Drosophila melanogaster: one gene and its partners. The protein of the gene in region 2 interacts with the protein of the main gene of each other region in a pairwise test. Each region holds a gene or a part of one and is shown on either strand. Other genes may lie near its edges. The genes, in order: stai, drongo, fau and prg.

What was found.
Region 1: the proteins of drongo (region 2) and stai interact in a two-hybrid assay, tested with the Drosophila melanogaster proteins (one large-scale study listed by BioGRID).
Region 3: the proteins of drongo (region 2) and fau interact in a two-hybrid assay, tested with the Drosophila melanogaster proteins (one large-scale study listed by BioGRID).
Region 4: the proteins of drongo (region 2) and prg interact in a two-hybrid assay, tested with the Drosophila melanogaster proteins (one large-scale study listed by BioGRID).

What each region holds. Positions count from the first base shown.
Region 1 is NT_033779.5:6,117,707-6,126,006, forward strand, and holds stai (stathmin), read left to right. Parts: upstream 1-2,967; 5' UTR 2,968-3,104; coding exon 3,105-3,504; intron 3,505-4,067; coding exon 4,068-4,237; intron 4,238-4,298; coding exon 4,299-4,484; intron 4,485-4,557; coding exon 4,558-4,704; intron 4,705-4,991; coding exon 4,992-5,147; intron 5,148-5,271; coding exon 5,272-5,358; 3' UTR 5,359-6,947; downstream 6,948-8,300. Other genes in the region: CG31642 (uncharacterized protein), read left to right, coding at 1,052-2,725; Arpc4 (Actin-related protein 2/3 complex, subunit 4), read left to right, coding at 7,543-8,049; WDR79 (WD repeat domain 79), read right to left, coding at 8,226-8,300.
Region 2 is NT_033779.5:847,165-854,187, reverse strand, and holds the start of drongo (drongo), read left to right. Parts: upstream 1-3,116; 5' UTR 3,117-4,119; coding exon 4,120-4,289; intron 4,290-7,023. Other genes in the region: kraken, read right to left, coding at 1-643, 910-996, 1,183-1,252; CG4291 (uncharacterized protein), read left to right, coding at 1,559-1,560, 1,617-1,689, 1,746-2,470, 2,529-2,745.
Region 3 is NT_033777.3:10,771,965-10,780,817, forward strand, and holds fau (fau), read right to left. Parts: upstream 5,411-8,853; 5' UTR 5,288-5,410; coding exon 5,213-5,287; intron 3,102-5,212; coding exon of another isoform or gene 2,685-3,101; exon of another isoform or gene 2,055-2,684; coding exon 1,734-2,054; 3' UTR 1,233-1,733; downstream 1-1,232. Other genes in the region: CG45076 (uncharacterized protein), read right to left, coding at 1-8, 149-640, 1,171-1,197, 5,213-5,287; CG45078 (uncharacterized protein), read right to left, coding at 2,685-3,101, 5,213-5,287; Desi (desiccate), read left to right, coding at 7,728-7,822, 7,874-8,009, 8,085-8,238, 8,297-8,483, 8,552-8,765. UniProt on the Drosophila melanogaster protein: Plays an important role in the regulation of tissue responsiveness to oxygen deprivation.
Region 4 is NT_033779.5:8,460,747-8,467,194, forward strand, and holds prg (piragua), read left to right. Parts: upstream 1-3,741; 5' UTR 3,742-3,863; coding exon 3,864-4,028; intron 4,029-4,086; coding exon 4,087-5,598; 3' UTR 5,599-5,948; downstream 5,949-6,448. UniProt on the Drosophila melanogaster protein: May be involved in transcriptional regulation. The function of this protein is unclear.

The DNA of each region.
Region 1 (8,300 bases), 5.3 Mb from region 2:
ATGTCAACGGCTCTTTTCATTTGATTAATTTTGAAGACCCTTCTGTGAAATACATAAAAAAATGAAATACTCACAGGTGTACCACCTATTCGCTTTCTATTTCGCGTAATTTGCAAAAATGTAATTGAGGCCAACGTGTGGTACACATGTATGTTAGTGGATGCATTTTACGCTGCCTTTCATTATTATAATGATGCTTATTATTTTAACGAAAGCTTTTAGTTTCACCTAAAGTGCGGGAATGCCTGCGTAGAGTGGAACGGAAATTCATAATCAAAATATGGCCGTCTACCAATTGCAATGTATAAACAAAAAAGGCGAATGTTCTATTTAAGTTGTTCCAATTTTGCGACAAAAAAAGAAGTGGAAAAATCTTAAATCTCAAGCAAATTAATGATTATATGTGCAAACTCGTAAAAAATACAAATGCGAACATTTTAACTCGAATATGAATATAACACAAATAAAAGGGTTTAAGAAACGAAACTGTAAACGAAATAACTCATCGAAGCTATTGTATATGAAGTATATGCTATCTATTATGGCGGGTTATGCGTTGATATCATAAGATTACAAATTATGCAAAAACATGTTGTTTCTATAGCTACTTAATTGTACATTGTAATTGTAAGTAATTTATAAGGCCACAGAAATATACTCCGTCATAGAAACTTCTCGTCGTGCACGTGCTCCTATTTTTTCGGGATTTTCACAATTGTTGATAGAATCGAGTTGGCAGCGCCTTTTGGAGTTTAGCTTTCAGTCTCACTTTTTTGTTCGATATTCAATAGAAGTTTAGTCAAATAATTTTTCTTGTCGAGTAAAGGTGTTCATCAGTTGAAAGTGAAAAGTTGTGAAAAGAGTAAGTTGTTGAAACGAATAAAAAACACTGGCGAGGCCGCTCACATTTCAATTTTAAATAGGGTTCTCTAATATCATAAACAAAATTCAGCAAACTTTTGAGTCTTCACCAACGACGATTCTCTGCGCACAATTCGTATATAATATCATCCGTGCACGAATTCCATTGCCAGAATCACTTCAAGCACCCATGGCCCACCAGATGCGCAATCCGCCGGAGCGCCACTTTGGCCACCGCTGCGAGAACTGCAAGATATCCGATTTCCAGGGCCGCCGCTACACCTGCAGGTTCTGCGCGGAATACACTTTGTGCGGCAAGTGCTTCGATGCCAACCATCTGCCGGCATCGCCTCAGCATCGCTACTACCATCCGATGAGTGTGTACTATGCCTATGCCGAGTACCAGCTGTACTTCGGCGGCGAGCCATTCTGCGGTGATCACAAAGTGGCCCAGAGCTACAAATGTGCCCTGTGCGATGTTCGCGGCCTTTCTACCGCCCATTTGTTCATGCACCTGCTGCAGGAGCATCGCGACCACCGTGACCACGATGCCTACTTGTCGTTGGTCAATACTCTCTATATAGCGGACAACGGAATGGAGCAACAGGTGCCAGTACCGCAACCTTCTAGCCAAACGCGCTCGACTCGTTCTCGCAATTTAGCAAGCGTTCGACCGGTAGCCGGTGGCAACACGCGAAGCGAACAGCGGACCGAGCAGGTATTTGATTCCGCATTAAGCCTGGCCCTAATGGTTGTGCAGCTGGACAATATGGATTCAACTGCCGCCGACTTTCCTGAACGCTGCTATGAGATACTGCAGCAGACTGAAACTGTGCTTATGCAGCACAGAAGTTCCAGAGTGCCGGACATGGAGGCGATTGAGTCTTTTGTGCGCGTCATCGAAGATCAGGTTGTGACTAGCATGGCCGATCGTCGTCAGCGTCTGGGCGCCTCATCATCCTCACTACATCGGCTGACCCGCATTGAGGCAATCTCTCCTGGTACTAATACAGCGTTAGCTATGGGTATGCGTGCTGCCATGCCCGTTTTGGTTGACCAGCCGACAACAATGGTGCGCAGGCAGACGGCTAGGCGTACTGGAGAGCCTATCGGGATAGCCCTTCAATCGGCGGTGGCTTCGTCTTCTAGGAGCGGAAAAGCGGGGTCCAGCTCTGGGGTAGCCAAGGCACAAACGAAGACGCAAGGAGATCAGCCCACCAAGAAGGTGTCAACTGTCATTACTTCCCCACTCAAGGATAAGCGCTTTTTGTGCTCGAAATTGGTGAGCGGAAATGGCCAAAAGTGGGAAAGCAAATTGCTCAAAGCTACCTTTACCGAGGCAATGTTCTGTTCGATGTTGGCAGACGAAGAGCTGTTCCAGCCGCCAATTGGACTGCCCTGGACTGCGAATTTCATGTTGGACGCAGTCGAGCCATCAGGCAGTGTAAAATCAAATGGGAAACTATTGCTGTATCCTGTTAAGACCAAGGAATTGATGGAACGCTTCTACAGGGGTCTCGCCGAGTACAAAACTTGGATTGGTTATCAGACCGAACCAACTGCCGAAAGCAAGGCAACTGAACTCCCATCCGCTTCCACCAGCTCGGCTTATTTCACAGTTTTGGGCGATATCCCATATGCGGATTCCGGATCGGATGATTTGGAAAGTAATGCATCAGAAGAAATGGCCAGCGATTTGCATGGCGAAGGAAACAGCGATGATTTAGCCGGATTGGAGGAGGACAAGGAAAGCGGCGAGGAAGAAAACGGTGATGAGGACGATGGAGCTTCGGATTCCGATTTCTCTGAGTCAGCCATTTCTCAAATCACCGACTTCATAGATATGGTCATCCAGGACGAATAGGCGGGGCACCCAGCATTTGTAGGAAATAAGCCTCGGTATTTTCATAATTACATATGCATATGTAGTATTTTGAAATAAACATTTCTAAAAGAAAATGACCAAACGATCTGGATGTTTCCTCAGGTTTTTCCATTTCATAGGAAGCTTTTCTCGGATATTTCTCTGGCTAGTGGAAGATGATTTACAAAATCTTATTTGCACATCTAGTAGGCAGCGCTTTTCCATTTTATTCCGGTCTACAGTTGTCTCTATTTGTTATTGCAAAACATTTCTCCGACATCTGAGAACAAAATATAAATAAAGCATTAAACATTTTTCGATAAACCCAGTAACGACGCCAAATTGAACTTCGATCAGTCATTTGATCATATCATTTAAAATGGGTTGCAATTTCTCTGCTTTACCGACCAAATGTAAGGGTTGCGGGCAAATTCGCGCTGACTTTGACCGACGGTACGGTTGCAGTGAGTGCGGATCTGAGGTAATGTACTGCGGCCAGTGTTTTGATGAGGGCCGAAATCAGCACACTGAGACGCACAAGGACGACCGCCGCATTAAGATTATCTACCATCGGTCCTTTCTTGACAAATTCTTCAGCGGCGAGAAGCTGCTAAACGGCGATGCTTCAAAAAGCTACAATTGCGTTTTTTGTAAGAAGAGATTTAGCGCCGAGGAGTTGCAGTTGCACTTGTCCGAGATGCACTCGAATCCCGCGGATGCGTCAGCGTTGACGGTCATGCTGGAAAGGATGAGGCAGGAAGATTTGGAGAACAGAATTGGTGAGATATGGCAACATTTTGGGTAAACAATCTATGCACACTCATTGTGATTGCCTAAAAGCTTTTGTCACCATTGACACTCCATAATAATAGCAAATTATGTGTCAAAATATGGTTATGGATACATATAAAAGGTGTCCACTGTCGGCTGTCGTGGCAACATCTTCAAGTATCGTTATCCCTCTTGTTCAATGATTGTATACATATACATATTTTTGTTTTGACAAATCATTTTTCGCTTCGTTGGTTGTCCAGCATTCCATTTGATGGATTTGTCTACAAGTTAGATAATGAGAATGTCAAGATATCGATTTTAGGTGATTATATTTCGATGTAACACTAAATTCGTATTGTTTAACTTATTGGCCAAAAGAACAACATTTAAGTTTAGTTTTTAAGGGGGTGGAAGTGTAAAAATGACGTCATGTTGTTTTGATGGGGGGAAAGCCAAGTCGAGGGTTGAACCACGAGGTTCACCCTTAACCGCAACTATTCGATGCACCCCAAGTGCAAAAATATTGAATTACTATAAGTCTCCCTTTGCTTTCCTTCCTCCTCCACAGCCACAGAGATTCGCTGCCAGGAGAAGTCCCGCGGGGGATTGAGCTATGAGGTCATCCTGGCCGAACCGGCACCCAATGTGGCCGTTCCAAAACGACCGGTCACCCCTGGCAAGAACGTTAGCGTCGAGGAGATTGAGCAGAAACTTAAGGCGGCCGAGGAACGTCGCATTGTAAGTACATAAATTAAAGAATTAAAGTTGTTGTAAAGCAAGTGAAATCTTGTTTCCCCAGTCTCTAGAAGCCAAGAAGATGGCTGACATCTCCACTAAGCTGGCTAAAGTCGAGGAGGCGACTCGCAAAAAGGATGAGATCACCAATGAGTTTATTACTCAGACCAAGGAGCAGCTGGAGTCGAAAATGGAGCTGCATGTGGAGAAGCGAGAGGCCATCATCAGTGACATGAAGGAGAAGCTAAAGGTAGGCTACCAAACCTATTGCATCCCATAGTATATTCCCAACTAACCAAGTATTTTCTTCCGTTTAACGAAAGATCCATGCCCAGGATATCGAAAAGACGCGTGAGACTCTTGAGCAGCAGAAGGCCAACGAGCAGAAGGCAATCGAGGAAAAGTTGAAGATTGCTCAGTCTCTTCGCGATGAGAATATCAAGAAAATGTTGGATCGCCTAAAGGAGCATGTGAGTCTATAGCATGGCCAAAAGTTTTCATTAAATCTAGTTTATGATTAGATGTATGTAATTATAATATTCAATACCCAAGATCCCATAAGTCTCAACAATTACTTTATAAACATTACATTAACTTACATTCATTGCTGGAATATAAAATTGAAATGACACATCATTTTGACTGGACTAGCAAACTGGTTAACATTTAGTTAGTCATTGAGTGTACGAACTATAAATAAGTTATCATGCGTTCATATAATTTTGGTTTTTCATTTCTCTTATATCCTCTCATTTAGAACACAATCAAAATTGCCGAAATCAAATCGCAGAACGATCAATTGGAATGTCAAAAGATCGAGGAGAAAGCGCGCATTTATGAGAACAAATTGTTCGCCGCCGAGCAGAAACGCGAAAAGGAATTGCAAAAAAAAATTGAAAAAGTTCAAAAACTCGTACGTGTTGTTCCCCCCCACTGAAAGCGACAATTTGCCCTATTGTTTGAGTAGCACTTGGCAGTAGTTGCACATCTCCATTCGCAAACGAATATTAATCCTTGATTGCTTTCCTTTCTTTCAGGAACGTCGCGCTGAGCTCGTGCGCCAGAACAAGGCCCAGGCCCAGGATTTGGATGGTCAGCAGAGCGCCATTGCCTCCTCAGGCTAAGTGGAGAACGATCCTGCATCGAGAGCTGTGCTCACCCACTGCAAACATGGTTACAAGGCGACTACAAAAAGAACAGCAACACTGCATAATACACCAACACATATTTAAGCAAGAAAACCCTTAAAACTGAAAACGATTTCTCAAAATTTCCAAGTATTATGAAAGCAAACGAAGCGAAGGGCAAGGGCAAAGTCTCAAGATACCGCTGAGCGAGTTTTCTCACGAGCTCTATAATGAAACACGAATAAGCTACTATAAAGCGAAAAGAAATGAATGCTTACGGCAAGTTAATGCAAAAAAAAAATTAGTAAAGGAAATCTACATTTAAACTTAAAAGCCCAGGCAGAAAAGCCTATGCAAGTTGAATGCATGCCTGTCATTTAAAATTTCAAATTCTTTTAAAAGTTCACGTTGATTTCAGTTGAAAGTTTAAAACACTTTTTACCTTGAGTTCCAAGAATGTTATATTCGTTTTGGATTCATTATTTTCAAAGTCTTAGTCTTGAATGTTCAAGTTTTTTTTTTTTTTTAATTACTGTGGCATCGACTGAGGTATTCTCAAAATAATAAGCACGCTGTATTTGCATCTATGAATGGCTTTCGCGAGTAAAAATTTGAAAATGTTTTTAATTAAGTTAATGTATACTTTAGTGGTAATTTTAATTTACTAACTTGCAACAACATGATACATATACATGCTGAATATAGTTTTACACTAACAAATAATTTGTTCTTATAAGTTTCGCATTTTCTATCTATAAAATAAATGTCTAACAGAAAAAATACATAAGAAATGCTTATACAATTCAATAAAATCAAATACCATGTAAAACACACGAAACGCATTTTTCCTTTATTTACATACAACACAAACACTAAAAACGCTGATATAGACATTAATATAAATGGAAGGAAACTACGTATAAGCATACATTAATGTGTGTAATATTATATGGAAATGCATATTTTGTCTAACGTCGGGTTATTTTTAGAAATGGGTTTAAGAGGAGAGTGAATGTGGGGGTTATAATAAAAAAAAAAAAAAGTATTTAGGGCAAACCAAATGGAATATTTAGGAAAATTTTTTCCAAAAACCTGCGAGTTATTTTTAATTTTGCACCAAAGGGCGCTTTAAAGATTAGCTTAAATTTAAATCTTATATCGTTATATATGTATGTGTACTCGTGTAAACCTATGGCTTCTACAAATGAATATCAATAACATAAATCTCTTAATAAAAATGTGCATTGGCAAAACAATTTAACACGCACAGGACACCAAATTACCCAGACACGAAAACTTTCAAGCATACTCAAGAAAAAACGAACAAAATATAAACGCAAAGCATAAAATGCTTTGATATTTACTCAATTTATGATATATTAATGTCTAATCCAATGCAATAATCAGCCGAAACATTTTTTGAGTATTGAGAGTAGGAAAGGGTTACAATTTTGAACGATTGATTAAAATACTCACTTTCTAGGTTCACGCATAATTTAAGTTCATATAAGCCACAAATAACTGACCATATGCGAGCAAAAATACTTATAACAATTGTATAATAAAAGTGCATTAAACAAATAAATGCAATATTTATAATTGGTGGATGCTGTTTTCTTCTAAATTAACATTTTTCCTCTTTGCTGGTGTGTTGGGTTTTCGGACTTTAATATGGTACACATATATTTGATATTTCCATTTCAAATTTTAACGCTTCTAGCCATATACATTTTTCTTAAATTTTTAAAATTTAGGTATGATTTAAATTGTTTCACTCCTAAAAATTCCACAAAGATAAGATACAAATGGAAATGGAACAGTGGTTGTGGTCTCGGGTAAGTTCTTGATAGTCAAGTTTCTTACCATCTTAACACAGGACATCATAAGAAATGTTTTAAGTGCGATTTGATAAATGTTTAAAAACAACATGTTTAATATTGATTGTATAAACTTTATGCATAGTCTTCCCAAACATATAATAGAAACTGTTTCATAACAAATTCCAAATAGTTGCTATGTTTTTGCGGCCCCACCTCGGCATTGGTATTTTCCTGCCAGCCGCGCATGGTCACATCTTTTCTGGTTGATAAATTCCAGGGCCTGTGAATCATAATAAGTTAAGTAAAAAGTGCAGATACAACAAACCGCAGGCAGCAGACAACAACCCGACACCCAGACACAATGGCAGCCACATTGAAGCCCTACCTGACCGCCGTGCGACACTCGCTGACGGCGGCGATGTGCCTGCAGGACTTCCCCTCGCAGGTGGTGGAGCGGCACAACAAGCCGGAGGTGGAGATCTGTTCCAGCAAGGAGCTGGTGCTCACGCCCGTCGTCGTGTCGCGCAACGAGCGGGAGAAGGTGCTGATCGAGCCGTCCATTAACTCGGTGCGCGTGAGCATCGCCGTGAAGCAGGCCGACGAGATTGAGCGCATACTGTGCCACAAGTTCACCAGGTTCATGATGCGACGCGCCGAGTCGTTCGTCATACTGCGCCGCAAGCCCATCGAGGGCTACGACATAAGCTTCCTCATCACCAACTTCCACACGGAGCAGATGTATAAGCACAAACTGGTGGACTTTGTCATTAGCTTCATGGAGGAGATCGACAAGGAGATCAGCGAAATGAAACTGGCGGTCAATGCCAGGGCACGCACCTGCGCCGAGGAGTTCCTCAAACGGTTCTAGGTAAGTGTTCCACCTAACAGCCATCGCCATTGAGTCGACGCCAACTTACTCTCGCAAATCCTTTGCAGGTGAAGGCAACCAGTATGGACCCGGTCATGATGCTTTAGTATTTCCAAATGGATTCAAGAATAAAGACGGATTTTGTATTATTTACTCGACTACACCAGTTTTATATGCTATCCCGTTTGGCCGCACCACCACATGACCACTGCGTTCTCGTAGAGAACTTCCTTCTGATTTTGATTCACATC
Region 2 (7,023 bases):
CGAATCTGGCGTGCGTAGGCCAACGTCTGCTCGGCGGTGAACATGCCCAGCAGGCTTACTTTTAGCCTCAGATCCCTGGCAAAGAGGTAGCCATTCTTGCTCGGATTGTGCCTCATTCCCCTGTTCATGAGCACACGAACCGAAGGCTCATCCACGGACCCATCGTACGCGTCCAGCACCAGTTTGATCATCTCGTCGTACGAGTAGCAGGGCTGCTTGCTCTCCGGCAGGGTTTCGTAGTCCAGGAACTTGTCCAGCGCCCTGCCAGTGCCCTCCGCCATCCGTTGGGTGCCGCGCACCGTGGGACCCGCGATATCGATGTTGATCAGCTTCTCCACCTCCGTGGGAAAGCTGGCCGCGTACATGAAGGTCAGAGCTCCGCCCAGCGAGTGGCCCAGCAGAGTGACGTTCTTCCAGTTATACTTGCGGACTATCCGGCGAATCAGGCATATGCCGTCCCAGAAGATGAAGTACTGCATGCCCATCGGATAGTGCGACGACTTGCCGTGCCCGGGCAGATCGATGGCCAGGATGGAGGTGTCCGCCGGTAGCAGGGGGCACAGCCTGTCGAAGCTGCCGCAGTTGTCCTGCCAGCCGTGCAGGGCGATGATGGGCTGCCTCTCCTTCGAGCCCCACCACTTGGCTGCAAGCGGGAAAATCGATTAGTACATATGTATGTAACTTGGTTTCAGCACGTGTATGTTAATCGTTCAGGGGAATCGCGTGATGTTTCCAAAAAATATTACTCAAAAAACAAGCAAAGAGATAGCGTTATTGGGCTCAGTTAGTAGAACACTTGTAGTGCGTCGAAACTAACAAAATATTTTAGCCGCGTCACATCGAAAATCACGTCGGATTGCCATGAATGGTCGATGCTGTTGATTAGGAAACGGCTGGCAGGTGACTCACCCTCAACGGTTCCCCAGGGCACCGCGATAGAGAACTCCTCCCAGCTGTCCTCGCCCAGCAGCTGCAGGGGCTCCTCCGTCTGGCCATCTGAAAGCAGGGGGAATCCACATAAGTAATTCAACTAAAACCAAAGCAAGCTGTGACGAAATGGTCTGCGTCTGGTGAAATCGCCCGCGGGCCAGGTGAAGCGCAACCAGCGGAAACTTCGGACTCAGGTGCGCAGAGCGTGCGAGTCGGTGACCTGACCACGACCTCCTCCTCCGGTTTACTCACTTGTCTCTGGCGAAAGTTCCGCCGCGGGAGATTGCGCCGCTGTTGTTGCTGCCACGCGTGTCTGGCCCATGGCTAATTGCTGCTCGCAAATGGTGCTCCGTAATGCTGGACGCGGATCGGGCGAGCTCCTGCCTCGGGGAATCTCAAAAAGCGACTAACTAAAGTCGCAAAGTTTTGCCGATCAACGGAATTCGATTGTCAATAGCTATTGACAGATATGTCGGTTTGGCGGTGGAATGGCTAGAAAGTCAGATACGGAGCTATTGTGCAGCTCCATTCGCGACTGGGTGGCAACTCCCGCACATTGTTTTCATTTGCGATTGCAAACAAAATTTAATATTACTTGTATTCGAAACAATTAAGCTGAGAAATCATCATGTAAGTCTGCGTTATTATCCTCCGGCTTTGCCATAGCTAACTCTCGATTCCAACAGGACGGAGTACTGGAAATCAAACGAGCGCAAGTTCTGCGACTTCTGCAAATGCTGGCTGAGCGACAACAAGGCGGTGAGTCCATAGAATAAACTCGCTTTTCGGCACTCTAATGACCCCTAATCCCGCAGAGCGTCGCCTTCCACGAGAGTGGCAAGCGGCACAAGATGAATGTGGCCAAGCGGATCACGGACATCAGTCGCAACAGCGAGAAATCGGAGCGGGAGCGCCAGAAAATGGACGCGGAGATCCGCAAGATGGAGGAGGCGGCCATGAAGTCGTACGCACAGGATGTCCATTCGCGCGGTGACATGACCGCCAGGTCCATTAACACGGTAATGAGGGCCACCGCCACTGCTGCCGCCTCAGGCGGAGCTCACTCCTTCGCCGGAAGATCACGCCAAGTGGACCCCATGCGCCTGGAAGGATTGTCCGACGAAGAAGAAGACCAGAGGCGGGTGGCTCCCGGCAAGGTAACAAGCGACGCAGCCGTGCCCGAGGCATCCCTCTGGGTGGAGGGCAAGTCGGACGAGGGACACACCTACTATTGGAACGTGAAGACCAATGAATCCGTGTGGAAGCCGCCGAAAGAGGGCTATCTGTCCTACGAGGAGTACGAGCGCATCAACCAGCTGGCCATCGACCAGCAGCAGATCTCCCAGGCCGAGGAATCGCTGAAATTCCGCGCCAATGTCGACGAGGAAGTGGCGAGGGTGAACCGAGAGAAGATGAAAGCCTTCCGCAGGACGGACAATCCCAAGGAAAAGAAGCAGAAGGAGGAGAGGCGTCAGACATTCAAAACGGAGGAAGAGGCGGCCACCAAAGAGATTGGACAGTGGCAAACTGTGGAAGTGAAGTAGGGCCTTCCTACTAGGTTCAAATGCATTTACTGATAAATTTATGGATTTTTGTAGAGCACCTGAGCAGCCCATCGACTGGCAGCTACCCAAAACGGATTACTACAGTGCTGCGCCCGTGGTTTCCGCCTCGAGTGAACCAGAACCTCCAGTCAAGAAGTTCAAGGAAAAGACGATTGGCGGTCTGGATGAGGAGATAGCCGCCACTGCGCCCGCCACGTTCAAGCGGAAATTCATCAGGAAGGGAAACAGCCGCCAGCGCGCCGAGGATTAAGAAGTACTCCATGTGCTTATGTGCATATTTCACCTACTAGTTAGGTTTAGGCATAGGAAATGTTTAGGTTTTTAAGTGTTTGCTTATACCAATTAAAAAGTGAGATGCGTTTAACTAATATTAGATTAAACATAGCTATTGTAGAATTATTATTATCTTTAGTCGACTTGCATTCAATAAATATTTCCCAACATTTTAAATAGTAATATGTTTTTTAAAAAGTTTTAAATTTCGATAACAGTTATCGAATTAGGTTCAATCGGTGTGTGTCTGTGCTTTAGTTGCGGCATATTTAGGTCTTAGAGCTCCGTCCAATTTTAGTGCATTTCCAGCGGCAACACGAGGTATGTTTCTCCCGTCCGCCAACGGTCACTCTGCTGCTGTTGTTGTAGGCGAGCGGTCGGAATTTGCGTCGGAATTGTGTTGAGTCGAGTCGCGCTATTTTGTTTCGAGTGCGCTGTGCTGTTTGGTTTCGTTCCGTTTCGTTTCGCTGTTCGTTTTCCACTCGTCTTCGAATCCGCACTGCAAACAAACAAGGAGAAGGGGAAGCAGCAAAAGTGGCGAGTGCATTCGCAGCGTCGAAATTTCAATTGAAATCTGAAATCTGTGTGGCAATTGCAGCGGCACTCGGTGTAAATAGATTGAATTGAAGCGAAATTCTGCGAGTCGAAGAAGTGAAAAGTAAACAATAACACGGGCAATCGGAAAAGTGGTTTTCGATAAATCGCACCGCACACACACACCTGTCAGTGTGAGTGTCAAAGTGAGTGTGTGAGTGTGCGTCGAAGGAGAGGAAAGGTCAAGCCAAAAATTGCGTAAAGAAAAGGAAAGGAAAGCTTAGAAGAGGGGAAGGGGAATTACGTCAGTTTCGCATTCCCGATAAAAATTTTTGATTCCCTAAACGATCCTGATAGCCAGCCATTACGATAGGCAAAAAACGATAACAGCGGAAATTTACGTCAATTTGGAGCAGAAAGTAAACGATACCAATTCCCGAAAGAATTCAAAAAATCAGGCAAGATTCAGTTCGTGTACGCTTACAACAGCTCCGCGCCCCACGCCGCCTCCTCCTACCGCACCGCCGTCGCCCCCTTTGCGCCCTACGCGGCCGAGCGGTCCACCCACCACCACCCACTCCCGCCCCCCGAGGAGCGGCTGCCCTCGGACACCGAGCAGCTAGCTGGATCCGACGAGGATCGGGCTCAGAGCCACGAAGCGGAAGCGGAGGAATCCGAGGAGGAGCGCGCAGGTAGCGGACCCTCCGTCAGGCCGCTCATCGCAGCAGCAGGAGCAACAACAACGACAACGTCGACGTCAGTAGTACCGGAAGCGGTACAAAGGGCGGCGGCCAAGGGAGCGACAGAGACGGCGACAATGGCGGTGGTGCGCAAGAAACAGGACGACAAGTACCTGCTCGCCCTGCGGGAACTAGTGGCCAGCGGGACGGGGAGCAATCGGCAGTGCTTCGACTGCGGCCAAAAAGGACCAACCTACGTGAACATGACCATCGGATCCTTTGTCTGCACCCGCTGCTCCGGAGTCCTGTAAGTATTTGCCTTCTTGTTGTTGTTTTCTAGTCTGGGATAATGTAGGGTAGATCCAGGAATTAGGCATAAGTCGCCTGCTAGGTGACCTTTGTTATGAGAATGTAACTGTAACTTGGCTATTCATATTTTAGTTATTTCTTTGGTTGTCTCTTTGAGTTTACCAGGTATTCAAGATACCTCTGGAAAATATTTCAAACAATTTCCGATGCACAGATTGATCTAGCTTGAGATTTGTAGAATAAGGATGGTGGGTTATGAACTGACAAATCTCTTAAAATCTTCCACAAGAAGAATCCAGATATACGACATTTATGGTTATGGCTTTCTTGAATGGCTTTTGGTTGAATTCACACATGTTTTTTATCAAAAAGCTGGCTACCTATATACATATTCTGATAACTGCCAAATGGGCTACCCCCACTGCGTTTAGGAGTCATATAAAATATTGCCTTGAGTGTTTCCAAAAATAGAAATGCAAATTGAGAGCTATCAACGTCGATCCGTGGACCTTTCTTGGTCTCCCGTGTTATCTTGACTTGAACCCAGCCAATTTGAACTCGCCTGACGTCCATTTGGGATCTGTGCCCGAGTGGAGTGACCGATAATTTGCGATCGATCGATGCAATGTCCGATCCCGCCCCCCATTATTATTTCGTATTGTGTGTGAAAGCGAAAGCAATTCCCCAACAATTTCGAACAATTTCGCACAATTTGGCTTCCTTTCCTTTTTGAATGCAAATGCAAATCGAAGACAAAACTTTCAATTGCGCGACATCGCGGCGAACGAAATTGTTTTGTCTTCGCCGGCGTCGCTTTCTATTCGTGTTTTTCCGTGGGGAGACGTTTTCGAGAGCCGCCCACCTGGCGGTTGAGTTGTGGGTGTCCTTGGCGCCCCTCAGTTTATTTTTTATTTTTGCCCCTCTAAGTAATTTGGCAAATTGGCTTTGATTTGTGAGCACTATGGCCAAATTGGGGTCATATATGTATTACCACTCCGCCGACACTGCATTTCATTTGATTTACGCATTTCCGGATCAAGCACATTACATGATTGCTCTTAAACTTCCGCTTGGCCCAGGTCCAGAAGCCCAGTCTCCCACGATTCGTGTGCCCCAGATTGTGGCCTCTCAATTGGACAGCATGCGGGTTTCTCCGCTGAGTTATCTCTATCATCGGAACCAGGTTGAAAAGTAGCCAACTGCAATGCGTTCGCCCTGCTGCACTCTGCAGTCCCCAACTCTTGTTTCGATGACTCATTGCCCATTCCTCAGTCTTCGGTGTGCGGTGCTCAATCCTCAATCCTTAGTCCTCAAACCTTGTTGCCAACTGCCAAGGGAAACAAATGTTGGCATGTAAATGAAAAGCCACATAAATGCCGGGGACACCAAGCGATTGCACTGCGAGAAAGGGTTAATGGTTAATTGTAACAAACAATTGGTCCTGTTAGTCGGATACTTCTGCGGTTTTTCAGTTACTAGTCTAACGACGTGCCACGTTTCTGCCGGTGTAGCCAAAAAGGGGTGTGGAAAGGTACTGCAGCAAATGGGGGACTCGGCCGAGGAAGGGGGCGTGGCAGGGGCGACAGCAGGCGACAACGAACTTCCTGGCTGAAAATGAGACTGGAACGTCGACTGCGACAAGGGAGCGAGTGCAGGGAATACCAAATGAAACCAACTCCTCCGACTCACGAAGAAATGGCTGTGCATGTTCGGCCCGCCTTTGGATATTGGAATCCGCTGCAGACCGGCCGGTCACTTGGAGCGCTTAATGGAGGAAGCGGTTCAGGAATGAGAATGGAACTGGCAATGGTAGTGGGTTTCAGAATGGGAATGTCCGCGGTGGCGCGGGGAGGAAAACCCGTCCGACGGCTTTTGCCAGCCACACTCGGTTGTATTTTTGGGCCGAAGTTGCTGCTGCTGTTGCGCCTCCAATTGCAGACAAATTGTTGCACCTCAATCAAGCAGCAGTCGCCGCCATCTGCTGCCACACCGCATTTCGGTTGCTTTGTTTTTTTTTTGTTTTTGTTTTATTTTACTCTTTGGCTTTTGCAGGGTTCAAAGCTTGTGCTGGCTCATAAAAGTCAAGAAACTTGTTGATTAGATAAGGCGAAAGCAAACGGCCATTGGGAGCAGAGCTGAGCAGAGCAGAGCGGAGCAGCAATGGTGAGCCACTTTCTCAGGCTTCGTCATCATTCCCACCGCACACAACACACTAACTACACACAGCAATGGTCATTTGAATACGAAGTTGCCGGCTTAATAGTGCATTATTCAATTATTAAATAACTTGGGGATGTGAATCAGTGCGAGTTCAGGCGAAAAATGGAAATACCCATTGCTAGATGTGAAAATGTTTAGCTATACATTGGAGGTGCTTATATTTCTGCTTTAAATTTCAGATAGATTTACTTCTTCTAGTAAGCATCTTTCATAATGCTTACTTTATTTAATACAATTTTACCATCAAATGCCGTAATTTGTTTTCCTTGTGTCAACTGTGATTTTTTCTAAACTGATTACATATACAAGTGTTTTTATACGCTTAATCTTTCAAAACAAGTTTATTATGTGCGATTTCCTGGACTTCGTTTTGGAGTGTTTGAGTCATTTTTATTATGTTTTTAAACTTTTATTTAAAATATTTTATCAATCTTCCCGGCTGAGCTATTTCTGTGGTCACGATTGTATGTTTGCAGTCATTCGTTGGTTGTTTGTGCGATTCTATCTGTCTG
Region 3 (8,853 bases), on a different chromosome or scaffold from region 2:
GAGAAGGTCTGTAATATCAATTCAATGTTAAAGGGGGTGGGGGCCAAATCGAAGGAAAAGAAGTCTAGAAGCGAGGGCCCAGAACAACACTACTCCTGGTTCTGTGTGTCTACGAAAGCAACGTGCTAAGTACGCTGGACCAACTTACGGTAAAGGGTTCGGTATTGAGGTAATTGGTCAGGGCGCGGGCACCGTAACCAGGCGGCAGCCTCTTCAGATAGGAGGGCACAGAGCGAACCGGGCTGGTGATGACCCTCACCGGCGAGGGGGTGATCCTCAGCGGCGACAGCGAACTGCGTGGGGCATACACCCGGGTGACCGTGGTCGGGCTGTAGGCGTAGGACGGCGTGTACGTGGTGTACGATGTCGGGATGTAGGTCGAAGTGTAGGTCGATGGCAAGTAGGAGGGGCTGTAGTAGGTCGATGGCGTGGTGTAGGAGTAGGTGGTGCGCTCCGGCGATGAAATCACTCGGGTCGTCGTGCGGACAACGCGAACAGGCGATGGTGAGTGTATGACGCGGGACACCACGCGGGCAGGCGAGGTTACCACGCGGATGGGCGAGGTCACCACCCGGGTTGCGCCGTAGACGCGGCGTGGCACCGAGTAGCTCGAGTAGATGGGGTAACTCGACTTGTACACCTATATGGCAATGGTTTCAACATTAAGACAACATCGAATATGCAAGGTTCGGTGATTATGATTTGATTAGCGGAATGAGAAAGCAGAGAAAATAAAAAAGAACATATAAGAACTAGAAACAGAAACGTAAACCATATGTTCGTGATCTCTCCATTTAGGCAGTTTTGTCTGCCTTATGATTATGGAAGTAGTCGATTTTACATCACAAAAATGATGATATATGAAATGATAATAAGTAAAGAATGCATCTTGAAAATGCTTACTACTTTCAGATTATTTAACGTGGGATCGTGGGATTTACCCAGAATAATTTCTATTTTGATTAAATGGATTCTCTAGTGCTTTAATCTAAATAAGACTATGATGTGAGGGCTTATTACTAACCGAATCTGTTTTTCCAGTGACGATGATGTGATGGATGTGATTGAACAGTGTGTGATATAAGTCAATAGAAAAGAATAGTAATAATCCATAGAAAGATGGATGATGACAAGCGATGTAGGCGATAAGGATGAAAACCAAATACTTACACGAGTTACTTTCTCGACCGAGGGGTACTGAAAGTAATACAAAATAGAGCAAGTCATGTTTTGGTTCAAAAGAGTTGACAACTCTCATATATTTCTTGACAGAAACGGTTTAGATTTCCTTATCCTAATTTGTGTCTTCAGTATGAATATCGTATCGACCTCTATATATGTTCATTTCAAGAAAATATAATGCTACGTTCATTTGAGATAAGACCGTGTTTATTTTATTGTATCACAAATATGTTTTAACATGACTTCTTGAAGGTTGCAAATACACACAGAAATTGTTGATCTTGTTCGGTTAATCTAGTCTATATGCGAAACTATTTGGGCATTAGTGGTGATTAGTCCAAGTCAAAACGAAAATACATCATCATTGAAAACTTCGTATACAAATATATATATATATATATGGGCACTCAAGGTTAGCGGGTTAAGTGGATTATTTGCAAAATGTATATATTTATATATATATATAAATTCAGAACAATGACGTATTAGTGGGCACCATAACATTCAAAGCCGTGGACAGCCAACGCCGATCCTTTGACGCTGTGCGTCTCCTACACGTGGTAGGAGAAGTGGCGGTACTTGGTGCCGCCGGGCAGGTTGCCGCTGGTGGTCGAAGAATAGCTGTAGCCACCGGGTCCGGCGCCAGTGGTGCTGGTCCGCTCTGTGCTGTAGTTGTACGAGCCGCCGGGACCGCTGCGCGACGTCTTCTCCACAGTCGACGTGTACGTGGAGCGCTCCGGGCGGTACGAGTGCGGGTTGCTCGAGTCGTAGCTGCTCTTCTCCACGGACGACTTCGAGGTGTACGAGTAGTCCGAGGAGGCCCGGCTGCGGTGCGAGCCCGGTCTGTCCGTGCACAGGTCTAAGCGTGGAGTCTATAAATTCCGATTTGATAGTGATATAGAGATAAGGTTTGGTTTGGTTTTGGTTTTGGTTTCTATTTCGGCATTGGCAGCACAAGCATCATAAAAGGATTAAACTTGCTCCTGCTGCTCCACGAACTGCTGTATGCAAATGGCCAAAGAACGCAAGGCGACTCAATTGGGGAAATTGAAACATGTTCGAACTGTTTTACTTTAGAGTTAAGAGCTTAATGCAACCATCTATGCACACAAATGCTATGAGTCTATGAATGAAACGTTAGATACATGGGTACACAGAGAAAAAAGCACTGACCGTTTGTAGTTGGAATCTCATTGAACAATTTCTATAGAGCGTACTGCTAAAATGGAAATATTTCGATTACAACGTATTCTGGATAGAATGTCTAAAAGTTCTACTTTTTCTCTGTGTAGAGTAAAAACTTGTTCAGTGTTTAGTGGGTTAACACAAGATTATATGGACTATGGCTAGACTATATGTAGGCCTATCATTATTTTGAATGCATTTTCAGTTTTTTTTTTGTCTGTTTTAGTTGGTTATGTGTCCTTAGATACGACTAGGTTCGTTCGACTAGGCTTCGATTGGGTTCGGGTTATCGGTTGGGTGAATAGGATGATGCTCCCCTAGTAGGAGTACTTGGTGACCATCGCGCCCGACCTCTCGTTGCGGTAGGTCTCCCGGCGAACTGGCAAGGACTCGGAGACGGCGCGATGGAGTCGCGGCAGCTGGGCGTCCAGACTGTCGCGGAAGGTGCGGCCGGCGGTATTGCCACCCGCCTCCACGGTGTCGATGTGCTGGCGCACCATGCCCAGGATCCGCGTCCGGTTCTTGTCCCGGGTGGAGACATACGGCTCAATGGGCTCGTAGGCCAGCTTGTAGTCGGGCTTGATGGAGGCCCGATTGATCGGATCGAGGATCGACCGCTGGCGCCGCTCGAGATCGGGACGCCGCACTCCGAAGGCGGTCACCGGATCCGAGATGAGCGACGGCCGCGGCACGAACGGAACTTTCTCCCAGTCAATTGGTGTTCTCTTCGTTCTCTGTAATGCCCAAAAGTCCACAATTTTGTTTTTAATTTCTGGGTCAGCCGGGGATTAAGCTGTGGCTCAGTGGTTAGGTGGTGCAGCGAACGGGGATCTCAACTGGGCGGTGCGGTGGGTCAAAGTCATATGTACGAGTATATACAGTACGCGGGCGGGGCATTTATATACAGCTTCGTTGGGGCAGTAGTTGAGTTTGGTATCAGATCGCAGTGCTGGGTGGGTCAAGCTGTATCCAATAACATCGAACATCCTTACATTATGACACAAGATGCATAGCTACACATGTGTCTGAACCCTAGGGTGGACCTGCATCTCTTTTGGTTTGCACAAGCCTTAAACAGATATTACGTATACGCAACGTTGCTTGCACAGTTGGGCTGCAGAAAGCTAGCCTACTTAACAGGTTTCTATTGAAGTGCAGTAATGAAAATTTAGATTTTGTTTTTCCAAACGGTCCACCCTAGTCTAAATACACATATGTATATATGCATATTGATACGACGTAGTGTGGTTGTGAGTAATGTGCAATGGGAGCATTAAGATGGAACACAAACAGCAAACGTATATATATTTACAGCAATTTAGCCAAGTTTATTTATCAATTAAGCCAGTTACCCTACATTCTAACCCTAAATACCAAAAATTAAATCTCAATAAAACGTATTTCATAGATACACATCAAAGTAGATTGCCGTTTTCATTCATCGAATCATCAAGTTATCACTATAAATTATAAACAGCGAGTGCTTTTCAAAATGTATATGCATGGCACACAGAAAGTGTCCAGACAAGATGGATCTCTTGGGGATTCGATGTACCTACATATATATCCTTGCTTTGGATTATCATCACATTGGACAGTCGAAAAAATGGGCATTTTCTTATGTTGTTCCCTCTAATTTTCGAATATTTTGCGTTATTTTGTTGTAGTTGCTTGCCATGGCATCGGTTTATTTGAATATATTATGGAAATCGGAAAGATATTTTTAGGACCAGCAAAGAGCGAAATGCGCGCGCATATAGTATTACACATACAAAAAGCAAATCCACGGCCCGTACAAAAACAAATTATCGAGAGAGCTGTGGCTCCGTATGAGTTTCATCGCGAATTCGCATGTGTTTGGAATTCCACTCGCCCATACATATGTATATATTCTAAACATTTTTGGGCACCAGACCATTAGACCACCAGACCAGACGGACCTCAGCATTTTGTAAATAATAATAAAATATAGAGATAGAGAAGAAAATGTTCGGCCTCCGCTAAATTCTTAGTTCCCAAAATGTATTTAGCGTGTTATATTTGGGAGGTGAGTAAACACGTATATCCGAAAGAGATATGAAGATCATTGCACAGCAATAAATTTGCTGAAGATTCAATTCCCACGATCGCGCGAAAATTGCAATCTTTTCACACTCGCATCGTTTTGTCAGAATATTTTGTCACATATTTATTATTTCGGTCTGGTTTAATTATGGTTAGACGACTGTGCAGGCACATAACTCAGATATACATATGTAGTATTCAGTGTAGTACGAGTACACCACAACCATTGTGTGAGAGTTATTAAATTGTTAGAAATAGGCTTATGTATGAATTACTACACAAATGTTTACACTGAACCTGAAAATGCTATATATGTACAACATGGGCAGAACGTCTAGGTGATCATTAAATATAATATCTCTGAGCACAAGGACATTCCGTTGCGAAAGACCAGCTAGTTAGGTACTGTAAGTTCGATACGATATTCATAATTGGTAGACACTTTACATTCAAACGTGTTTCAATTTCTCAAGTAATCTGCTCGCTTCTCAGAATGATACCATTGAGTACAGCAAGTGGGACACAAGCGCTTAAAACTGAATTCTTGTGACTACAGATTCGATTAGCCATTAGCTAAGTGCTAACAGCAAATAGTTAACTGCTTTCAAATTTGTCAAATTTATCCTCAGCGTTTTTTGCAATCACAGGTTAGTTTATTCTTGAACTGCTTAAGTTTCGAGTTTGGCAACTGTACGCACAGATATATTTCACAGATTTAAATCGAGGAAAACCACACTACCGTATGTCAAGTAAAGTTCAGATTCTATTTCGAAGGGCTTACCGTAACTGCGTAGGAAGTTGTCACCGGCCTCGAGGAGTAGGTTCTGCGGGTCGTAAATCCACTTTCGTAAACCATGTTGAGATTTTTAGATTTGGATGCTTTGAGAGTTTTCAAATAGAATTGTTCGTTGGATTTTGGTTCGGATATATCGTCGTTGCGTGTTGTTCACTTGACGCCCGTTCGAGTTGATCTGCCTGAGAATCGCACGGAGCACTTGCTTATAATTTTTTGATTTTCAAAATTTTCACAGCCTTCGATCCCGCTCTCTCTCGCACGTTCGGTCCATACCTCTTTCTCTATCCATCTCCCAAATGAACTTATTTTTGGAATTAAGAAACATTGACATCTCTCCTCGCAAAAGAGCGAGCGAATTCTGTTTACATAAAGCCAGCACTTTTCATACAGTTGCGTTCGGAAAAGCCTATATACACATGAAATGTACCGAGTCTAGTGCTCCCAGGATATAGAGCCCTTATCTGCGAAAACAGACGTCACGGATTTCTTCCAGAACTTTATAGATAAGATTAGAATCTGTATTTAGCATGGGATATGACTCGAATTGATGATGATGGCATCTGAAGATGGAGGAAAGGCTAATATTTGGCATAGGCTAAATATGGGTCGATAAACATCAAAACATTCGGCGGATTATTTATTTATAAATCTGCCACAAGAATTTCTCAATATAATGAGCAATTATTGATTATGGTAATTTCAATATTTTTACATTTAATTGGCATTTAGCAGTATGATTACATGTAGACATTAATAATGTTTATAGCTTAATTCGTATTCCCATCATTCAAAATATCAGCATTCAAAGCATCACCGTTGTTTAAAGATTGATTAGCCAAAACTGATATGAATGAGCTTGGCATTTTTTGAAACAAATAAGGCGTGAAATTAAAATCCTGAGAGCAATTTATGGTCAGTGGGTATCACCTGTGGACCGGACACAGAGCTTTCCACACAAATAGCTGGATATAAATTATTAAGAAAATACAAAAATGAAAATAAGATAAAAATAAATGTTGTTTTCCAACAGTTTGAGGCCAGATTACTCATACCATCTTACAATAAGATCGGAAACATGTATTCGTGAACATATAAATAAACTGCACATCATCCTATACCCACATTTTAAATCGGGTGTGTAGGTGTTTGCTTGTATATAAACAAAACCATGGCAGAAATTCAAAAAAACCAAATTCTTTATGACATTAACCTTAACGAGAGGCAATGAATGATTCGTAATTTCAAGGCTGCCGAAGTCAGCCTAATCGGCGAACAAAAATGTCATTGAGCACTGACTTGGAATTTAGTGTTTGCTTTGTATTAATTAGGTGTTAATAGACATTGAAAAATTAGCAGAAAATAAATTGGCGAAAAGGATTCAATATAGCGAACAAATCTTCTTTGATTAAATGAAAAAGGTGGCACAACATTTCTGCAACATGTTGATTTTCATAAATCTATAAAGAGGTATTACTTTAGGTCTGCAACTTGAAAAGGTTTACTAATTGTCCATAAAAGTATTCGTGTCTGACATAATTCATTCATTATTTTAATATGAGGTGATATATGGAGGTCATTGTCTGGCGACCCTGACGATGTTGAATCTTTAGATCTGTAAGATCTTTAAGAGATTATTTTTGAAACTATGCATCTAAAAAATATGAATGTAAAAGACCTTATTCAAACGAATTTAGTATTAATATTTCTTGATATGCTTATTTAATGTTTAATATTACGATAACTTACAAAAATTTATTCAGCAATATACGTTTAGCTTATAAATATCAATGTAAGAGCCCATATATTTAGGCCCGTTTGAATATATATACGATATAAAACGAGCGGCAAGATGTCAGTGACTTAATACCAGAAATCTCTTGGTCGGATGCCCCTCATAATGATGCAAGTGGCGCAGGTGCAAACACTTCCATGTGTCTCCGTTCCCAAGTCGCGATTTTGATCCATTGGAGTACATAGATATACGACTTTTGGTTTCAGATGCATGGCTGCTCAATTTATCCGCCCAGCCAGCGTGGTTGTTTGTTGGCGTCTTCGCCACTTTTTTTTTTGTGTCTGCGATAATTTTGTTAAATAATTGAGTATGCAATGAAAATTGCGCATTACAGCGACATAAGTACGATGAATGGTCTTTCATTGGGGGGGGGTTGTTTACTGTGCTTGTATGGGGACATAAGTGCCTATATGGTTACAAACACCTGTTCATTCGTTTTGCTAGAATGCGTTTCTTTCCTCACTTTTTCCCAAATACTCGCATAAACGGCATTCAAATCCGCACGCTGCTTGACATTTTGTAATTTGAACAAATTGCTTGCATTTTTAGGCAACTCCTATAAATAGTGGAGTTGCTGCTGCTGGAAATATTAGTTTGGAGCAGAGCGAACGACACGTTGGAGCCACGAGCCAAAAACCCCAAAGGACTATTACTAATTTACAAAAAAAAAAAAAGAAACCCAAAAGGATACCCTCTTAAAAGAGCACAATGAACCGAAATTACATTGTCATACTGCAGCTGCTGGGAGTGTTGGTTGTGCTGACCTACGCCAGTGCAATCCCCAAATACGAAGATAGCCATAAGTAAGTCAATTCTAGTACCCCATATACGATACTCATTTGGAATGGCTTCAGGTTCTATGCGGATAAGGCGCAGCGGGATAGGTCGTACTTTAATGAAAACAAGACCCAGCCTAGTGAACCGCAGACAGCTTCCACGAAGGATAGACTGGAACGACTGGGCTATACCACTGGCTACGGATCCCTAAATGTGCGTAAACTACATCAGAACCTCCAAACCGTGGGCTAAACTACTAACATTGATCTGTGAACTTAAATTGTCTAGGGTTATCCTGGCGGTACTGGACTATCCGCCTACAATCCCATAAAACTGGACCTGGGTGGCGTTGTCTTAGGAACTCTTGTGGGCATAGGTGCCATTATACTGATTCCTAAGATTCTATCCGCCTTCCATGGTGGTTATGGAGGCTACGGCCGCAGTGAGTGAAATGCTTTTATGGAAATTCAAAAATAAAGTTAATTTTCGGTCATTTTTAGGCGAGGACAGTGACCTAACACCACTGAGCAGCATGATCAATAAGATTGACGATGTTCTGGGCCAGAATAATATTGACTCGACGAGTTGCATGCAACGTGCTGTGTGCGGTTATGTTCGCTCTACGGAGTATAATATGAAGATCGGTTCCTCAGACCAGATGGACGAATTTATTCATATGCTAGCGGAGTGAGTAGAGGCTTTTAACTCCAAGGTACTTAGCACACAATATTTGCTTTTGACTTACTTGTTTCCAGAAATGCCCTGGTGGATTACCTCCTCGATGGAACGGCTATTAAGGAGGCATTGGAGCATGGAAAGCGAGCCAATGATCGAGCCTGTGAAGAGGTGTACTCCAATTGTCCGCTGGACAGTAAATCAGCTACGGATATTCTAATGAAGCTGATGCCAAAGAAAAACCCACAAGGAAAAGGAAAATCATCTGGAATTTCCCGAGAAAAGAAGGTTTAGTTAATGTTGTTCTATGAAATTTTAAAAAATTGTTCTCCATTTGCATACAACCAAATATTTTCCCAACATATAAATAAACTCCATTGTG
Region 4 (6,448 bases), 7.6 Mb from region 2:
TAATGATAGTATTAATAATATATTTCATACGGAAATGTGCTGTGCAACAAAGAATGCAAGCAATAACCTTTGCAGGTCCGTTGCCAGTACTATAAATATCAATAGTAAATAAACAATAAAATAATATAACAAATAAAAATATACAGTCCACTATATCGTTGTTTAATAGAAAATGTACTTCTACATAGAAAAAGCAAAATGTTTAAAATAAGTTAATTGAGTACAAATTGATGAATTAAAAATAATATAAACCATAATTGTAATCCAATAAAATTAAAAGCCAGAAAAACTAGGCCCATTGAAATCTTAGTTGCAAAATAAATGAACATATATCAAATAAATACAGTCCACTACTGTTATAAATGCAACTAATATACTAATGTACATCTCAGCTTGCTGGCCCTTTGGCAGAATGTTCACACATGAACACGAATATATTTAAAGACTTACAATTTTGGGCTCCGTTCATATCTTATGTAAATGAATCGAGAGCGATAAATTATATTTAGGATTTTGTTATCTAAGGCGACATGGGTGCATTGCTCAAAAAACATGTAATTTAAGTGCACACTACATGAGTCAGTCACTTGAGATCGTTCCCCGCCTCCTAAAATAGTCCCTTAGTGGGAGACCACAGATAAGGTCCTCGCCGCTCAAGATAGGCAGATGTGCCCGAGCGTGGGACCTCGATAAGGCGGGGACTATTTACTTAGGCCTCTGCGTAGGCCATTTACTTTAAGATGCGATTCTCATGTCACCTATTTAAACCGAAGATATTTCCAAATAAAATCAGTTTCTTACAAAAACTCAACGAGTAAAGTCTTCTTATTTGGGATTTTACAAGCGCTGAGATCTAATGGTTATGCCATTTTCCTTGGATTTTCATTGATTTTTTGTGTAACGCTTGTGAATGTCACATGTTCCTCCGAAAGCATATTATAATTTCCAACTTTGTACTTAATTTGCACGGCAATATTAGATTTTCGATATTGCGGCTCAGTAATTGGTCATAAATGGCTTATGTTATTAGTTCTGCAGAAAACAAGAGCTTTGCGATAATATTTCCACGTATTTATCGTAGTTTATACCCCTGCGCTTACTGGGTTCTTGGTACACAACGAAAAATAAACAATGATATGGGAAACTACATTTATTGTAAGAGAAATATTCAGCTCCATTTGTGGAATTGATTTTACTGTGATTATTCTAGAGGGTTGAATGACAAGAAAATTACCGACATGGTTTTACAGCCTACAAGTTACTGGATTGCAAATGAAGAAATTTTAGAAAAACACTTTGTACTCATACGGGTTAAGTTTTAAATTTACATTTCTGACAGTGTGCTAAAATCAATTTATCTACTGCACATGTTTGACTTTTTGTTTACAATGTCCACCGTCATCGCCTGCTTTTAATATTGCGAAGGGGGTAAATGGTTTGACACCCATTATCAGTATCAGTTCGACGCACGACAATCTCAGCGAAGCGTTCGGTGTGCGACAGCGGAACATCGATTCATTCAGGCAGCATAAGCTTTAGGCTACTGATAAGATTGTGGCATGATTTCACGCTGGGAAACTATGGGCATGGTTTTGTTACACAGTTGCTACGCATGTGACGCGGCCGCGGAAATTAACTTAAGTCCGGACATGAGGTCTGGACCTCCCCCACAGCCACCAATTGCCGTTCAGGTCAATTTAACGTCAGCGTTTCAAGTCAAGTTCAAAGTCAACGGGGAGAGTGATTCTAAGCTGTAGAACTAGACCTAGCTTGAGTCACGGCACCGATTCATTTGATCTGCTGATTGGACTTTCCTCATCGAATGATCATTGCCGAGCACTTAATTGCCGAGTGGAATGTTTAGGACAGCAATCTTCAGTTGTTTTTCATTGTACACAAAATTGGAAGTCACTCTCATGTGGCCGGCAAATGGCATGTTCCCTATGTTTAGGGGTAATTGTATGCAAGTGTAAATATTAAGTTAGCAGAAGTCTCGTAGGGTAAGGATATTTACTAATTCGGTGTGGTGATATCATATAGATTTGCTTCTAGGGACTTTAATCAGACCATTAAGCTCGAATGCAATCTTTGCGCTTATTTCACTTAAGCAATTATATTTTATCTTTATGTTCAAACTTTTTAGGGCAGATAGTGCATACGCTAGAGTGCTTTCGTTCTACTCACTACTAACTCACTACAAATCACTACCTAAATAGGCTAATAGACGCATTTTAAAGACCCCAATTTCGGTAAATTCATGAAATTATAAATTCTCTTTTTTATAGTCCTATTTATGAATTATAAATGCACAAATTCATTTTCATACGCGCAACGGCAACTGTGAAAAGTGAGGAATCCCAATAACCAAAAATTAACAGGGACTTGGTGGCAGAAAATTTAACACTCATGAGAACTACAGGGTGCGAGGGCAAAGCTTGGGTTAACAGGATGATAGGTACACAGAAAAAAAAAACTATTCCATTGAAATTTGCGATCATCATTCATACGGTGTTTATGTTTTTGGAGTAGTTGATTCAAAATTGTAAAAAAAAAACCCTGTGTTTCCTTTAGCAATGTGGTCCAATCAGTTCATCATTTTATGCATATAATCTAAATAATAAAATTGAACCTGATTACACATCAAAATCAAATTTCTCTCCGTGCATCGGGGGAGAGAACAATAAATGTACACGGGGTTGCTGTTGCTTTTATTCCTTAAGGACGGGAATAACACACTAACCGCATGGGAGAGAAAAGAAGTGGAAGAGGGGAGGTGGGTAGGGAAAAGGAGCGAAAGAAGGAGAAGCGGCAGGAGCATAATAAAGACAAAAAGTACGTGGGTGGAAAACAACAAATACAGCCCAAATTGTATAAACTCACGGAACAGTTATTTCCCTCTATGGGTGGAAAATTGTTGCTGCTAATTCCCTTGCTGCTGTTGTTGTTGTTGTTGTTGCCGCTGCTGCGTAGGCGTAACAGTTGTTTTGCCGATGTGTGTGTGTGTGTTCTAGTATAATTTGCAGCATCTGCAGTGCAATAAATTCCACTAAACGAACATTAGCCACTTTCAATAGAACCAAAAATCTCACTGCAATTAAGCAATAACCGCGCAAGCAATCAATCCCGATTAGTTAAAGGAATATACGCGCGTACGCACAGATTTTTAAACAATCATCCGCTTTCGCCGAAAGAGTGCCGGCACTCGAAAAATACCTCCGCTTTAATCAAGAGTCCGCGGGCAATTGAAAAAGCTCTCGCTTCGCGTGTTCACGGCGTGTACCTACATAGGTACGCATCAATTAGGTACCTGCCGCCCACTGCTTTAATCGTAAGTGCATTTCTGATTTAAAAGTGTGACACGAGCCTTATAAGTCTTATAATTTATATTTTATGCAAACAGCTTTACAAATTTTTAATGTGTAGAAAGAAACTGCGTTTTATTGAATTTGAGCATCATCAAACTTCAACCCCAAAGAATTACACATAAGTAGTTTCGTTTTTGCTACCAAAGATGCTGACGTTTATTTTGCGTATTAGATATGGCTTTGTTACAATTTTAGTAAAAGTATTTTAAAATGGAAAGGTACAAATCTGAACTTTAATAAAACACAAAATTGTTTAATTTAAAAACTTCAAATATTCAAAAATTCCTATAATTCAATTAAGTAACCCACTGTGCAGCGGCTTATCGATTTCCTCCGACAATCGATTGGACCATGTTGTTTAATTTCGCGACATATCGATACTATCGTGGTAGATTGGCCATTGACCAACGCGTTTTATTTGCTACCGGTGTGGCTTTTGTTTGCTTAAACAATTGGATAATTTATTGCAATCCCGGCTTAAATGCATATGATTGAAGAATGCATACATCGGATATCAGCATGACCCAGGATCAGGATGTGAGCACTTGTCGCCTGTGCCACCATAATACGGATCCCAACTCGCTAAACATTTTCGATGACACCGTGCAGTTTTGCAAGGATGTGTCCATTGCAGAGGTTTCCAAGAGTCTCTGGAGCGTTCAGGTGAGTGGGCCATTTATAATCCATGGAAAAAGTGCATGAATAACTTCTCCACCTACAGTACGATCGCAACGAATGTTTGTCGGAGCTCATTTGCTCAAGGTGTCTGGAGATCCTCGAAGAGGCATTCGAGCTGCGAAAAGGAATGCAGGAGCGGGAACAGTCCCTGCAGGAGCAGCTGAAGGAGATGATTAAAGATCATCCGAAGCACCGTCCAGGCCTGAATGGCAACCCCGGAGTATTCGTACCCGAGGAGGGCTGCATTATTGTGGAAGTTGATCCAGAGAATCTGGCAGAGAGCAGTGAAGAGGAATTCGCACTCGGCTCCGATGGGGAGTACGAAAACTATGACGACGATGATGAGGAGGAGGAGGAAGACTACGATGAGGAGGACGAGGAAGATGGCCAGAACGGCGAAGACGTCGACATGCCACTGGGCATGGATGCGGCCCAGATGGCGGCTCAACAGTCCGTTGCCAACAACGCCAACACCACGGAGGCACGGCCAAAACGAGCGTTCCTCTGTCAATACTGTGATCTTGGGTTCACTCTGCCCGCCGAGTGTCAAGAGCACGAGCTGGCTGCACACGATCCCAACGCACCGTACTGCTGCAACTTTTGCAACATCAAGCTGGTTACCCGGCCTGCTTTGATTTCGCACATAAAGACACTGCATGATCCGGACCGTCCGTATGTGTGTGCTCACTGTCGGAAGGGTTTTGTGCGCCGCTCCGATCTTAAAAAGCACACAATCGTGCACACTGGCGTGAGGCCCTTCACATGCAACGTTTGCTCCAAGAGTTTCTCGCGGAATACAAATCTGACCAAGCACATGCGCATTCATAGCGGTGTCAAGCCCTTTGTTTGCCAGCAGTGTCCGCGATCCTTCCAGACGGCTGTGGAAATGATGCGCCACACACGTTCGCACGGAGAGGTAAAGGCTTTCCAATGTGGACGCTGTCCCTACTCGTTTTCGCGCAGGGATAAGCTAATAGCCCACCAGCAAGTCCATACCAGGCGGGACATGGAGCAGCAGCAGCAAATGGGTCTAATTCCCCCGATGGAGGGTGATCTGCAGCAGCAGGCGTTGCAGGCTAAACAAAAGGCTGCCGCACAAACCAAAAACTCACGCTATTACCACTGTGATGTCTGCGATCGAACTTTCCAACGGGAGAGGGACCTGCAACGCCATCAAGCTCTTCACATGGACTCGCTGTTCGCCTGCAAGACATGTAATCAAGGTTTCAACCGACGCGAGCAACTGCAGCGCCATGAGCTAGAGGCTCATGGTCCCAGCTTTACGTGCGGAATCTGTTGCATTAGCTTCCTGCATCAAATTGAGCTGGAGAATCACCTCAAAGTCCATCAGTTGCAGCACAAGATGGCCCAGCGGGCTCAAGAGGCTGCTATTTTACCCCTAAAAATGGCCGAAAAGGCTCCAGTGGCTATGACGGCTCCGCTAGTTCAGGATCCCCAGCTAGTGCGTCCCTCGGCAGCGGAACTGTCGTTCTACAGCAACATGATTCCCACAATGAATCTGGGCTTCTACAGCGAGACTCGTCCCGAGGAATAGAACAACATATTTACATGTTTAATAAGCTTAGTTGATAGGTCGGAAAAGTTTTGTAGGTCAAGGCTGTTTTAGTCGTTCAGGTCAACATAGAATCCATTGGTGTTAATGAATCTGTATAGTTTAAGTCATCTGACTATTGTCTGCCAAAATGTAGCTTAGTGGTTTTTAATAAAAGGCCAAATCTGAAACGGTTTTCTTCGAGATCGTATGACTTTGTGAAGATATTATTTTTCATAAGATATTAAAGAAAGTTTTCTGCTCTATAAAAAACTTCTTAAAGTTAAGTTATGTTAAACCTATTTAAAGTAGGTTTACTTAATATATAAATAAAATATCAAGTAAGGTATTTGAACATTTTGTATTAGCAGTCGTCTCAGACCAACATGTTGCGTGCAACAAGTTGCACGTTGTCCGATACGAAGAAGGTCTTCTCCGAAATCTTCAGAGCAACTGCACCGCTGCAGATTCTTTCTTGAGTTCGCCCCGTACGGTAGTGCCTCTCGACCAGCGCTCTCGGATCTTGATCGCCTCGAAATCTCGTAATCGCCTCGAAGTGCGCGTAGTGAATTGTGCTGGTGCTGACAGTGTAACGTAACGTTTGATAGAATAATAAATAATAAGTATTGGAGTGGGAGATCCGCAAAGAAATGTGGCCAAGCTACCATAAATAAAGTGCGGATTTCAAACGAGACGATAAATCTATTCCCGAAACGGGCACGCAATCGAGGGAATACGAATCCACCTTACGGTTCGCTTGGTTTTGGTTAGGTTCAGGTTCCGCTGAGAGCGGTAAGTACGCAATTACCTTCGCCATTGCCAAGGGTCACTTCGCAGGCGATTTATGTGTATG